3 linked regions of the Mus musculus genome follow. The protein of the gene in region 1 interacts with the protein of each later gene in a pairwise test. Links are inferred from orthologs where the notes say so. Each region holds a gene or a part of one and is shown on either strand. Other genes may lie near its edges.

Region 1 (3,129 bases):
CTCAAAATCAAAGGTCTACCTGCCTCTGCCTTCCTAGTGCTAGGATTAACAGTGTAACCCACCAAGCCCCACAGGGGACTTGATTTTTTTCTCTTTTTAGCCAGGGTTTCTCTGTGTAGCCCTGGCTGTCCTGGAACTCACTTTGTAGACCAGGCTGGCTTCGAACTTAGAAATCCGCCTGCCTCTGCCTCCCGAGTGCTGGGATTAAAGGCGTGCGCCACCACCGCCCGGTTGGGACTTGACTTTTTAAAGTTATTTTTATTATTATTGTGCGTTTGTGAGTGTGGGCACATGTCGCAGCCTGCATGAGGAGGTCCGAGAAGGACTCCTGGGCCGCAGTTCTCTCCTACTGTGGTTCTGCAGCTCAGACTCTGGTCTCCAGGCTTTACCAGCAGGTGCTCTCACCCACCGAGCCGTCTCACCTGCCCCTGCCCCACTCACTGAGTTCTCCATCCCTTCATCCTTCTATACCTGTGGCTTCACAGCCAGAAGTTGGTATGTAGTCAAGGATGGCCTGGTACTCTTATCTCCTTGCCTCTACCTTGCGAGTGCTGAGAATACTGGCTTGTGCCACCGTGCATGCATTTATGTAATGCTGGGGCTAAGCTTGGGCTTCGTGCACATTAGGCAATCACTGTAACTGAGGTTACACCCCAGCTCTTCTTGTTGTGTATTGTTTTGAGGCAGGGTCTCATGTAGCCTAGGCTAGCCTTGAAGTCCTGATCTTCCTGTCTGTGCCTCCTGAGTGCGGGGATTATTGGTATCACCTCACTTCAACTTGCTTTGTCTGTTGTGTTCCTGATTTATGGGTTCCTTCATTTCAGCTTCTCAACTCTGGACTAAGAATCTTGGAACAAGAGCAAACCCCACTGCTGTTGAGGAGACCTCACCTTTCTGCCTCCAGCTCTCCAAAGGGACTTGCATCCATCTAGAAGAGAGGAGGGTGTATTCACCACCCTGTCTTTGTTGGCCTTTAATCTAACTTTACCTGACACCTTGGGCCAACTTTGATCACATCTCACCCTCTACTTTTGTTTTGTTTTTGGCAAGAGTGGACATTGGCCCTCTGGAGCCTGTTTTGGGCAGAGGGTGTTGAGAGAGTACTGAGGACTGAGCGGCCAGGACTGTGTGCTGAAGTCACCATGTCCACCAAGGTCCCCATCTATTTGAAACGTGGCAGCCGCAAAGGCAAGAAAGAGAAGCTTCGGGACCTGCTGTCCTCAGACATGATCAGCCCACCACTTGGGGACTTCCGTCACACTATTCACATTGGCAGCGGTGGCGGAGATGACATGTTTGGGGACATCTCCTTCCTGCAGGGCAAGTTCCATCTCCTTCCAGGAACAGCGGTGGAAGAGGCTGAGGAGGATGGCAGCTTTGACCTTCCCTTCCAGTTTACTCGCACTACAACCGTGTGTGGGCGAGAGCTCCCTGATGGGCTGTCACCTCTGCTCAAAAACGCCATCTCCCTCCCTGTAATTGGTGGCCCCCAGGCCCTCACTCTGCCTACAGCCCAGGCTCCACCTAAGCCTCCTCGCTTGCACCTTGAATCTCCACAGCCTTCTCCACAGCCTTCCCCACAGGGGGCAGGAAATGTGGACGTCTGGAGGATTCCAGAGGCTGGCTCGCCCCACAATGGGATGAGCCCTGAGCCGGAGGCCGAGGAGCCCTTCCTGTCCCATGCCAGCTCCCTGCTGTCCCTGCATGTGGACCTGGGGCCTTCGATCCTGGATGATGTCCTCCAGATTATGGATCACGACCTAGGCCGCGTGCAGATTCCTACATAAAACCCTCGGCTGGCCAGGCAGGTCGCCCAGGCTGTGCTGATGCCTGGAGACATCTATGGGCATTGGCCCTGACCTAGGAGTCAGGATCCCAGGTCACACCTATGGGTGCTGGCTAGTGACTGCCATTTTGAGCCTTTGTTTTCCCTTCTCCTAATGGACAGAGTGTATCTTTGTTTTCATCTAACAACATCCACAGAGGAGCCATGCAGAAGTTGCCTTAGAGACTCCTGAATCTCTTTGGTCATTTGCCCTCACTGCCAATTGCCCCCTTTCCCTCGGGTCCCTGTGGGGAAGACTCTGCTAAAATGGAGCCCCTCCTTTGTTGGTATCGTTGGCTATGCTCCCCACTGGTCTTTGTGTTTGGGTCTGGGAGTCCAGAAATCGTGACATCTCCCGCCTTGTGTCCTGTCCCAACCCTTCCTCACATGACCAGGGAATTCTGGTCGCAATAAAACATGTTGCTGCTGGTGGCTGAGCATCCTGTCCCCTTGTCCCAGGGGTATCCCTCTGAAGGTCGGCCAGTCTCCATGAACAGTGGGCTCATGTGGGAAAAGCCCACCCTAGAAGGTTCCGCAGAGGTTGTGCCTTCCCTCCTGGATGTGGTACTTCAGTCTGCACCCACAGTGAGAAGGACATAGAATAATCTGCACTGGTTACGTTGGAGCTGTGACAATACCTGATGAAAACAGCTTCAGGAACAGCTTTATCCTGGTGCCTGGGTGCAGCCCAGTCCACTAGGCTGAGGAGTCACGGGAGCAGGGGCTTGAGGCAGCCACAGTCAGGAAGCCAAAAGTGATATCTGTGGGTGTTTCCATTACTTTCTTTTATTTAGTCTGGGACTTCAGCCCGTGGGATGGTACAGCCCACAGTCAGGTGGTCTTTCCACCGCCATTAACTACATTTAGAAAGTCCTTCACAGACACCTTCAGAATCTCCACAGTGAGTCTGATCTCATTAAGTTGACCACCAAGACTACCATCCAAACCAAGTATCAGGGGTGGAGATTGGCCATTGATTTAGGTGTCTGGCAGGTAGGGGCTGGCAGGAGCTGGAGAGATGGCCCACTGGATACGAATGCTGGCTGTTCTTACAAAGGGGCTGGGCTCAGCTTATGTGGTGCTGCGCATTGAACTCACAACTTCTTCTTTTTTTTTTTTTTTTTTTTTGGTTTTTCGAGACAGGGTTTCTGTGTGTAGCCCTGGCTGTCCTGGAACTCACTTTGTAGACCAGGTTGGCCTCGAACTCAGAAATCCGCCTGCCTCTGCCTCCCAAGTGCTGGGATTAAAGGTGTGTGCCACCACGCCCGGCATGAACTCAGAACTTCTTGTATGCTAGGTTGGCT
Region 2 (4,948 bases), on another chromosome or scaffold:
GATCCAGCTGAGAACTCACCGCTCCAGTATCTGCCACCAATGCTGATCACAGTAGGGACCCACACAATAGGCTACATCCCTGCTTCTCTCCTAACCCCAAGTCTTCACATAGGTAGTCAATGTCTTATAGCACGAAAGCTTTGTGTGATCCATTAAGTAACAATAGATAATCAGAGTGCCTACCTTTAGTTACTCAAGATAAGCCTAATAAACAGATTTACGTTCATGGAATTTCCATTCCAGATTTTTTTTTCTTCTCCATAGCAAGGGCGGGAATGACTGTTTCCAGGATTTAATTAGCTATCATCTATCTGCTGTCTCTGCCTGCTCCCAAGCCTGGCTTTGTAGATACAAATTAAGAAATCGACCACATTCATTCATTCGATAAGTACATCAATTAATTTCCCATGCAAGGACTCCTTTTTCTGACACTTTGGAGTCTGAAACTCGTTTTCATTGTTCCCAAGGATCCTTCCATCAGACAGCAAAGCTATTCCTTGGTTGATGCTCCTCTCCAGAACAGAAGCAGTCAAGTTTCAAGGTCTTTCTGGGTTTGTGGTTCCATCCCGAGTCTAGTGCTGTGTTTATAATAGCAGACCAATTGAAAACACAAAGAAGCACCTTCCCCATGTCCTCCACCCCCAAAGGTGTGTTGTTAATTAGTATAGAAATAATTTAGCCAAGGGCAGTCTCTGTTCTCTAGGAGTTCATCATTCAGTTCTAGACACTGGGAACCAACCTACCAAATGCTCTGAGGGAGCGGTTAACCTTGACTCCTGTGATTGATCAGAGGGATGATGGTCACTCTGGAAGTCGGAGAATGATGCATAGTTTTCTACACACATGTTAGACAGCGCATATTATCTGTTCTTAAACACTAGTCGCTGTTCTAGTGGATAGGATTGCAACACCCCACCAGAGAACTGCGGAGGCACGTGCCCTCGTGGAGCTGGGCAGCAGCGAAGAGTAGCAGACATTGGACAGAATTGTGTAAAAACGGTGTTAAGAATCCAGTAGGAAAGGCTGAATTCTTGCTAAGGACGTGAGAACCTTCTGTGGGTTGCAGCCGTGGGCGGGTTTTGAGCAGGAGTGGCCACTAGTGGGACGGACAGTAGGGGGGGAGAGGACTGCAGGGAAGGGGAGTTAGTGATTTCAAAGAAGCAAATACGTTCTGCTTGACTGGAAGCAAGGGATTGCGAGCTCCGAGCGCTCAGTGTTCTTCTGGGCAAGGGGCTGTATTTTGAGTGCAAGCTCAAAGGCTCAGAGGTGTCCGGTGGGCTGCGGCGAAAGGCAGTTCTCATTCTGGATTTTTTCTGCTCCGCACACCTAGGCTCTTCGGTTCCCTAGATCAGCAGACGTCTCATTTCAGGCTCGGATTAGAGTCACACGAGGCGGGCCGGGTTCAGGGTGGCAGGGGGGCGCACCCACTACAGAATGCAGCACCAGGCTCTCTCTCCTAGCTCTGCAACCTTCGCTGAGCAGGAGGGGGCGGGGCTTGCTCTGCGGACCCAGGGGGTGGCACGGACTCCGCCCCTCTCCCCAGGCTCCGCCTTCAGAAATATCTGATTGGGTTAGAGTCGCGGAAGGGCAGGGCGTCCCCTGGCGGCCCCGTGGGTCGGGCCGAGGCAAGCTTATTGATTGGCCCTGCAGGGGATTAGGTCATCGCTAGCAGGTTCGGGCGGCCCGGACGCCGGAGGGGCGGCTGAGGCTTCTGTGAGAGGGCGCTCGAGGCTGCTTGAGGCTGCTGAGGAGCAAGCCCGCAGAGGAGGCGGGGAGGCGGTGGCCCGGCTGGTTCGCTTCCAGGCTCCGCCAAGGGTCCGCCGCCGCGCTTTCTGCCGGTGTGCAGTTCGGTGGCTCTCCGCAGGAGCAGCCGCCGTCCGTCCGGGTCCCCGCTGCGGTCCTGAGTCTCCTGCTCCCGCTGACCCCGCGCGCGGGGTAGCCGGCGCCACCCACACCTGTGGATCGGCCGTCGTCGCGGGTGTCCGCCGACCAGCGTGCGAGGCGCGTCCCCTCAGCCCGGCTGGCTCCGCGGGCAGAAATGGGGCTCCCGGCGCTCGAGTTCAGCGACTGCTGCCTCGACAGCCCTCACTTCCGAGAGACGCTCAAGTCACACGAAGCGGAGCTGGACAAGACCAACAAATTCATCAAGGAGCTCATCAAGGACGGGAAGTCGCTCATCAGCGCGCTCAAGAGTGAGTGTCCGGAGCAGCGCAGGAGGGCACCCGGCGGCGGCGCTCCGCTCCCGGTCGCCCGCGCGCTACCGGCTTTCATCCCTCCTCGGGCGCAGAGTGACCGGTGTCTATGCTCCTGCGAGGCAAGAAGGATATGTAAAAAGAGCGAGTCAGTTGCCTCGTAGGAATCTGGTCGCTCAGCCCTCGGCATTCGGGGACGGCCGGAAGGTGGCCATCAGGGTGGTACTCTGGATTGGGTGGGTGTGTGCGACACAGGTGTTTCTGGAGTGAGCCTGCCGCAGCCTGTTGGGGAAAACCACTTCCACGCTTCCCATGGCTTGGTATCCTTAAGGGGGGCGAGTTGCTCACCTCGGTGCCCAGCCTTGGGAATGGAGCGTGCGGAGGGGGCGCTGCCCATCCCTGGGAAGAGGAGGGTGGTGACTGCTTCGAGCCCTGCAGGAGCCCTGCACGCAGCTCTCGCCTAGTCCTGACTACCGGGTTCTCTGCGTTGGGGTGATTGGTTAGCTGCATTCCTGGGAGCACTGACATTAATCCCTAGACATAGATCAGTGCGGTGTACGTGTGCAGGTTTTGATTCTTGTGCTTAGCAGAAGGTGACAGGGGTGGGAGTATAGGACCAGAGTGTTCCTTTACTCTAAACTGTAGGCGAAGGTTTAAAAATAGACCGAACACATCCGTCTTTCTCCGTCTCCCGCTCCCTTGCTCCATACCCGTCCTCTCCCTCACATCTTTTAAAATTCAAAAGGCTGAGAGGGAATCCTCAGCCCTTGCTCAGAAAAAGAGAAGTTTTAAGCTCATTTAAAAGGTTCCCTGAGCTGCTGTGGAGCCATTTTTTGCTGCCCTGCCCCCTTCTCGGTACAAGGTGTATGTGTGTGTTAAAATGTGCATGCCGCCTAACTTTTGAAGAGGAAGCCCAGAGTTTTCCCTTGTGGCCAAATTAGAACATTCTAAGATTGAGCACCTTGCAGGGCAAGAAGGGTACCTTTTTTCATTGGGTTCATTTAAAAATAGTTCAAGCCATTTTTTTTTTCCATTTTGATACTCAGGAAGGGAAGGCAGATAGTGGAATTGTCTTTGACTCTTTACTCTTCCTGTCTCTGTGATGGGTTTCCTAATAGATGGTATCATTCAGCTAAGAATGGTTGCTTCAACAGAGTAGGATTCTAGCTGTTTGAATGGTCCCCAGGCTTCATTCGAGAAAGACCTAAGTGCCAAGATGTCGCTTAGTAAGCCTGTTGCTTTTAAAACTGAAGAGTGAGGGGATGGAATGTCAGGGCAGCAAGTGCCAGTCTTTCCTGGGTGAAATAAAAGCTCAGGGCAGCTATCAGAAGGCTTTCCAGGGCCAAAGATCAGGGCCTGCCTTGTTTCAGGGGACAAGTTACCTCTAGTTTGAGGAAAGTTTGGAACCCACATAGAAGCTGGGTCTGGAAATTTTGGTTGACCCTTATGCTTGCTTGATTGGTTTCTTCTCTCTCTCTTCCTCTCCTTCTGCTCTCCCTTCCTCTCTCCTTTCCCTCTCCCACCCCTTTCCCCTCTCTCCACCTCCTCTTCATTGAAACAGGGTTTCCCTATGCTTGCCTGGAGCAGTGCCCTTCCTGCCTCAGCCTCCTAAGAGTGCTATGATTGAAGGCATGCACCATCCGGGCATGGCTGACCCCAGGCTAGCCTTAATTGATCTTCTGCCTCACTCAGCAAACATATGAAGTGCCTGCACTTCCTGGGCATTGCACTAGATGCTAGGATGTAGCAATGACATTTGGCTGCCCCTGTGGGTGTGGAGGCACAGTACTCTGTGGCAGGCATGGCATTATTTGTGTGTTAACCTCACACTTGGGGAATCACTAGCCCAGAGTCCCATAGCTTCATCCACTGGCCTGTGGTTGTGGATTTTGCGTGGTCCCTTTGTGCCCAGAATGGAGCCTATAGGACCAAACCTACTAGAATTTGGACTTGCATTTTTGTATCTGAGCATTGAATCTGAGGAAGGCATTTTGGGTGACTGGCAATTTGCCTTCCACTATTTTTGAGGAGCATGAATTCTTTAGATGGGAAGACTCATTGCAATATTGGGGTTCAAAGGTTAACCAGACAGGTGGGTCAGCTCTGAGACTGTGGAAAGACTGATAGTGGCATAAATATGCCTGTCTTTCCACTTTATGACGAACTACCCCCCACCCCACTACTTGTAACTTCTGCTTTAACAGAACATGTGATCGACGTGACTTCTTACCACTTGTTTTCAGTGTTTGTACTGTGTTATTGTGAAGTGCTTGCTGCATTGCACATCATATTAATTCCTCTATAGTAATTTTCTTCAATCAGACCATCTTGATCACTACTGCTAATGAAAAGCCAGTGATTGTCCACTGTAGCTTACAAATAAATACATAGCTATATAGGAGTATATGTAGGTATGTAGTATATGCATTTGTGTTGTAGCTAGTACTTTTACAGGTCTCTGGGTTCAGATTTCCTTTATCTGTGAGTCAGAGGTGATAAAAAAGGCCTTCAGCAGTTGGCAGAGTTTAGCTACATCATTTTAATATTTCTTCTACTTTGTGAATGATGACGCCAAACAGCCCAGGAGTCAGTAACCTGCTCAAGGTGGCTTCAAGGCATTCAAATACAAGTTGGCAAATTCCAAAGACATTGTACTTAACTTGAAGCAACACTGTCATCTAGGTTAGCCTAAACCATAGCTCCTCTTGTGTTTTTCTCTCAAATATGCCAACATTTCCATAAAATGACTTCATAAA
Region 3 (4,248 bases), on another chromosome or scaffold:
GCTTCTGGACCCCAAGAGTGCCTAGGCACTGAAGGATGGTTGGGGGCGGGGAGGGGGCAGGGTCAGTGCCACGTGACAGCAGCATTAGGTAAATGTTTGCTGACCATCTGGAGGAAGATGTGTTAACATATGGAAAGGGTAGTCGGAGCTGCAGGAGTGCCAGTTCTCAATAGGAAAGTCCCTGTGTTTGTGGTTCACCATGGGGGCCAGGGGAAATCTCTGCAGCCATGCTGTGACTCTGCAGGACTCATCACCTGTCTGGACCAATAAACTCTTCCAGACAGGTAGGGTGGGCAGGGAGGTGACCCACTTCCCAAGATGAATAGAAGCCACCCACCCACTCACAGGGCAGTTTGGACAGTCTAAGTATTTCCAAGAATAGGTTAAGAGGGAACAAAACACCCATAGAAGGAGTTACAGAGACAAAGTTTGGAGCTGAGACGAAAGGATGGACCATCTAGAGACTGCCACACCCCGGGATCCATCCCATAATCAGCTTCCAAACGCTAACACCATTGCATACGCCAGCAAGATTTTGCTGAAAGAACCCTGATATAGCTGTCTCTTGGGAGGCTATGCTGGTGCCTGGCAAACACAGAAGTGGATGCTCACAGTCAGCTATTGGATGGAACACAGGGCCCCCAATGGAGGAGCTAGAGAAAGTATCCAAGGAGCTGAAGGGGTCTGCAACCCTATAGGTGGAACAACAATATGAACTAACCAGTACCTCCAGAGCTCGTATCTCTAGCTGCATATGTAGCAGAAGATGGCCTAGTCGGCCATCATTGGGAGGAGAGGCCCCTTGGTCTTGCAAACTTTATCTGCCTCAGTACAGGGGAATGCCAGGGCCAAGAAGTGGGAGTGGGTGGATAGGGGAGTGTGGGGGGGATATGGGGACTTTTGGGATAGCATTTGAAATCTAAATGAAGAAAATACCTAATTAAAAAAAAAAAAGATGCTTCAAAAGGGAACAGATATGACTCAGCAACTAGGTGGGCCGGCTGCTCTTTCAGAGGACCTGAATTTGGTTCCTAGCACCCATTGGACAGCTAACACCTGTCCCTGCCTCTTGGATGACCCTTAGACACTTCACACACACACACACACGCACACACACACACACACACACACACACGCACGCATGCGCGTGCAAAATGTTTTTGTAAAGCTAAAATTTAAAGTATTTTTGGCAAACACACTAAAAAAGCATGTCCCAGACATGCTCTTCAGGGAAGGGACAGTGAAGACGGATGCAAACTTTGTCACGGTGCTGTCACCTTGTCCCCTCCCACAGCAGTACTCAGTATGTGCCTACCACAGGCGAGGCACACACTCTACCACTTATTGCTATTTTTTAGACAGGGCTCACTAAGTGGTCCAGACAGATCTTGAACTCTCAATCCTCCTGCCTCAGCTTTCCGAGTGCTAGAACTGCAGGTGTGAGCCACTAGCTAAGAGACATCCCTTAAGCTTCTCCTGTATGCCCGTGCCCGAGGCAGATGCTAGAGACAGAGTAATAGATAAACAAAATGTATTTATTTCATGTGCGTGTATATAATACATGTGTTTGCAAAGCACATTAATAATAAATAATAAATAGGTAATTTAATAATAGGTAATTCTAGTAATAATAGGTAACACTACTCTTCTCATTTCATCCATAAGGAAATGGGCTCAGACAGGGTAGATAATGTACTCAAGGGTACACAGCTAAGAATTTCAATCTAAAGGTGGTATACACAGGACACAGCATGTGACATCATGCAGCAGGCAAGCACGAAACTCCAAGGAGCATAGCCCCTTTAATAAACAGGACTTTGGCTGAAATGTGTGTCATAAAACACACCTGCGTGTAACCACGAGGGTCATACTGTCTGAGAATTTAAGAAAGGGCTTATTAGGGCCACTCAGCTTGGGTTTGGGGTTGCAGGCAAAGCACCCCAGAGGATGTGGCATCACCAGAAACCCTGAGGATGGGAAGTCTCAGCCAGGAAAAGAGCAGGGTCAGAGCCTCTGGGGAGGGTGAGAACACAGCTTGGAGACTTGTGCTGCAGTTTCTTGGTGGCCTGGTGCAGCCATGGGCAATAATAGGACAGCCTCGGCCAAGGACTCTAACAGCGCGTTCTCTCCTCCAGACCCTGTTGGCCAGGGCACTCTACGACAACCATGCTGATTGCTCCGACGAGCTTGCTTTCTCCAGAGGGGACATCCTGACCATCGTGGAACAAAATGTGCCAGAAAGCGAGGGCTGGTGGAGGTGTCTGCTCCACGGGAGGCAAGGCCTGGCTCCAGCCAACCGCCTCCAAGTCCTCAGAGAGACCCCTGCAGACAGACCCTGTCCCCTGCTCCCGAGAGGCCCAGACACAGATCTCACCAGCTCCGGGGCGCCTTACCAGGTGCAGGACTTGATCTCCCCGCCACCCCAGGGACCTGTGTATGAACCAATGAGGAGCTGGGTGGAGGGGCCGTCACCAGCGACTGCCCAAGTCTACGAATTGCCTGAGTCACCTTCCAGTGCCAGGATCATCTGTGAAAAGACGCTGAGCTTCCCCAAGCAGGTGAGTGTTGTCTCCGGATGAAAGCATGGGTAAAGGGTACTGGGATACCCAGGGGCTTCACTACACTGCAGTCATCACCATTGCATCAGATTAAATGTGCAAAGCAGGACCTCAGAGCCCTACTGAGCATGCCCAAGACCCAGCCCCACTTCATGCACACGCTTAGCATCCCCGTGACTGCCCGGCTCACCAAGACTGACCAACCTGTGCCATCAGTTGAAGGTGTGTGCAGGAGTTTGTTGGCTATTCACAGGACCCCACGTCACAGAGAGCGCTGGAGACAAGGGGAACAAGGGATGGCTTAATTCACACCATGTTAAGGCCAGGGCATCACTCATAACGTTCAAGACTCGCATCTGCCTCCCCCAGACAATTAACTTCTAGAATTGTTACAGAAACATGCAAGAGGGTCAAATAGAGATCAGAAGGGGGTTGGAAGTGACCACATTGGTGCTAGGGAAAACCCACAGGTCCCCAAGTGTTTGCAGGGGAGAGTGTTGGGTACAGACATTTTGAAAGATTTTTTTTTCCCCTCCATTTACTTATTTGGGACCTGAGCATGCCTGGGTCACTGCACATTTGCGCAAACCGGAAGACACTCTCAGGTGTTGGTTCTCTCCTTCCTTCATGCGCAGGTCCCAGGGACAGGCAGGGTGGCATGTGCTTTTCTCTGCTGATTCATTCCTACCCCAACCCCCAAACTTTGTCCCAGAAAAATCATCTTTTGTCCCTGTCATCATGGTGAGCTTAATTCACACAGGGATAAGAAATGTTTCTATGTGGTTGTTCTAAAAAGGAAGACAGAATCCTTTAATGAAGGATTAAACCTTGGTGTGTGTGTGTGTGTGTGTGTGTGTGTATGTATGTTCTTGTATGCAGATGAACACATGGACTGGAAAGACCTAGAAGAACCCACACAGGTAGTTCTCCTCAGGAAGTAGAATTGAGTAAGGAGAAAATTAAATAAGAGAGTGGCTGGGCATGGTGGCGCGCGCCTTTAATCCCAGCACTCGGGAGGCAGAGGAAGGCAGATTTCTGAGTTTGAGGCCAGCCTGGTCTACAAAGTGAGTTCCAGGACAGCCAGGGCTACACAAAGAAACCCTGTCTCAGGAAAAAAAAAAAAAAAAAGGCAGTAACAGGGACCTTTCTTTCCTTTCTTTTATTCTGTCCATGTCCCCAGCACCTTGAGTGAGGCAGGTCCTCAATAAATATTTCACGAAAAAATAGATCAGGAAGATGCTGGGTGCCCTGGGGGACACGTGGACACCTGTGAATTTTACAAGCAGAGGGAAGCTGGAGCTTGAAAAATGTGTGGTCACATCGTTGGGGCCTTAAGGAAGGAATTTAAAGGCGAAAGGAACCACTCACCTCACACCCCTGGCTTCCTGGGGCTTTAAAATTACAGTGCAAGCAGCTTGGAGCTGAAGCTCGGTTGGTAGAGTGCTTACCTGGTATGCTTGGTCTATCCCAATTACTGCATACACCAGGCTGGGTGGGGCGCGGCTGTAACCCCAGCACTCAGGAGATAAAGGCAGGGGGATGAGGGGCTGGGGAACAGCCTCAGCTATGTAGTGAGTTTGAGGCTAGCTTTTGCTACATGAAGATTTGTCTCACAAACACCAAACACACAAACAAGACCCCACTGGCCTCAGTGTTCAGTGACAATAGGCCTCTCCTAACCCTGACACTC

Evidence for each region.
Region 2: the proteins of Cdc42ep2 (region 1) and Arhgap26 interact in binary tests that used the Homo sapiens proteins (3 or more experiments, as listed by UniProt). The two-hybrid records come from large-scale screens. The link is inferred for Mus musculus from reciprocal best matches to the Homo sapiens genes CDC42EP2 and ARHGAP26.
Region 3: the proteins of Cdc42ep2 (region 1) and Cass4 interact in binary tests that used the Homo sapiens proteins (3 or more experiments, as listed by UniProt). The link is inferred for Mus musculus from reciprocal best matches to the Homo sapiens genes CDC42EP2 and CASS4.

What each region holds. Positions count from the first base shown.
Region 1 is NC_000085.6:5,916,689-5,919,817, reverse strand, and holds the end of Cdc42ep2 (cdc42 effector protein 2), read left to right. Parts: intron 1-824; 5' UTR 825-1,142; coding exon 1,143-1,787; 3' UTR 1,788-2,262; downstream 2,263-3,129. UniProt on the Homo sapiens protein: Probably involved in the organization of the actin cytoskeleton. May act downstream of CDC42 to induce actin filament assembly leading to cell shape changes. Induces pseudopodia formation in fibroblasts in a CDC42-dependent manner.
Region 2 is NC_000084.6:38,991,438-38,996,385, forward strand, and holds the start of Arhgap26 (rho GTPase-activating protein 26), read left to right. Parts: upstream 1-1,715; 5' UTR 1,716-2,038; coding exon 2,039-2,192; intron 2,193-4,718; exon of another isoform or gene 4,719-4,948. UniProt on the Homo sapiens protein: GTPase-activating protein for RHOA and CDC42. Facilitates mitochondrial quality control by promoting Parkin-mediated recruitment of autophagosomes to damaged mitochondria.
Region 3 is NC_000068.7:172,413,985-172,418,232, forward strand, and holds part of Cass4 (cas scaffolding protein family member 4), read left to right. Parts: intron 1-2,135; coding exon 2,136-2,558; intron 2,559-4,248. UniProt on the Homo sapiens protein: Docking protein that plays a role in tyrosine kinase-based signaling related to cell adhesion and cell spreading. Regulates PTK2/FAK1 activity, focal adhesion integrity, and cell spreading.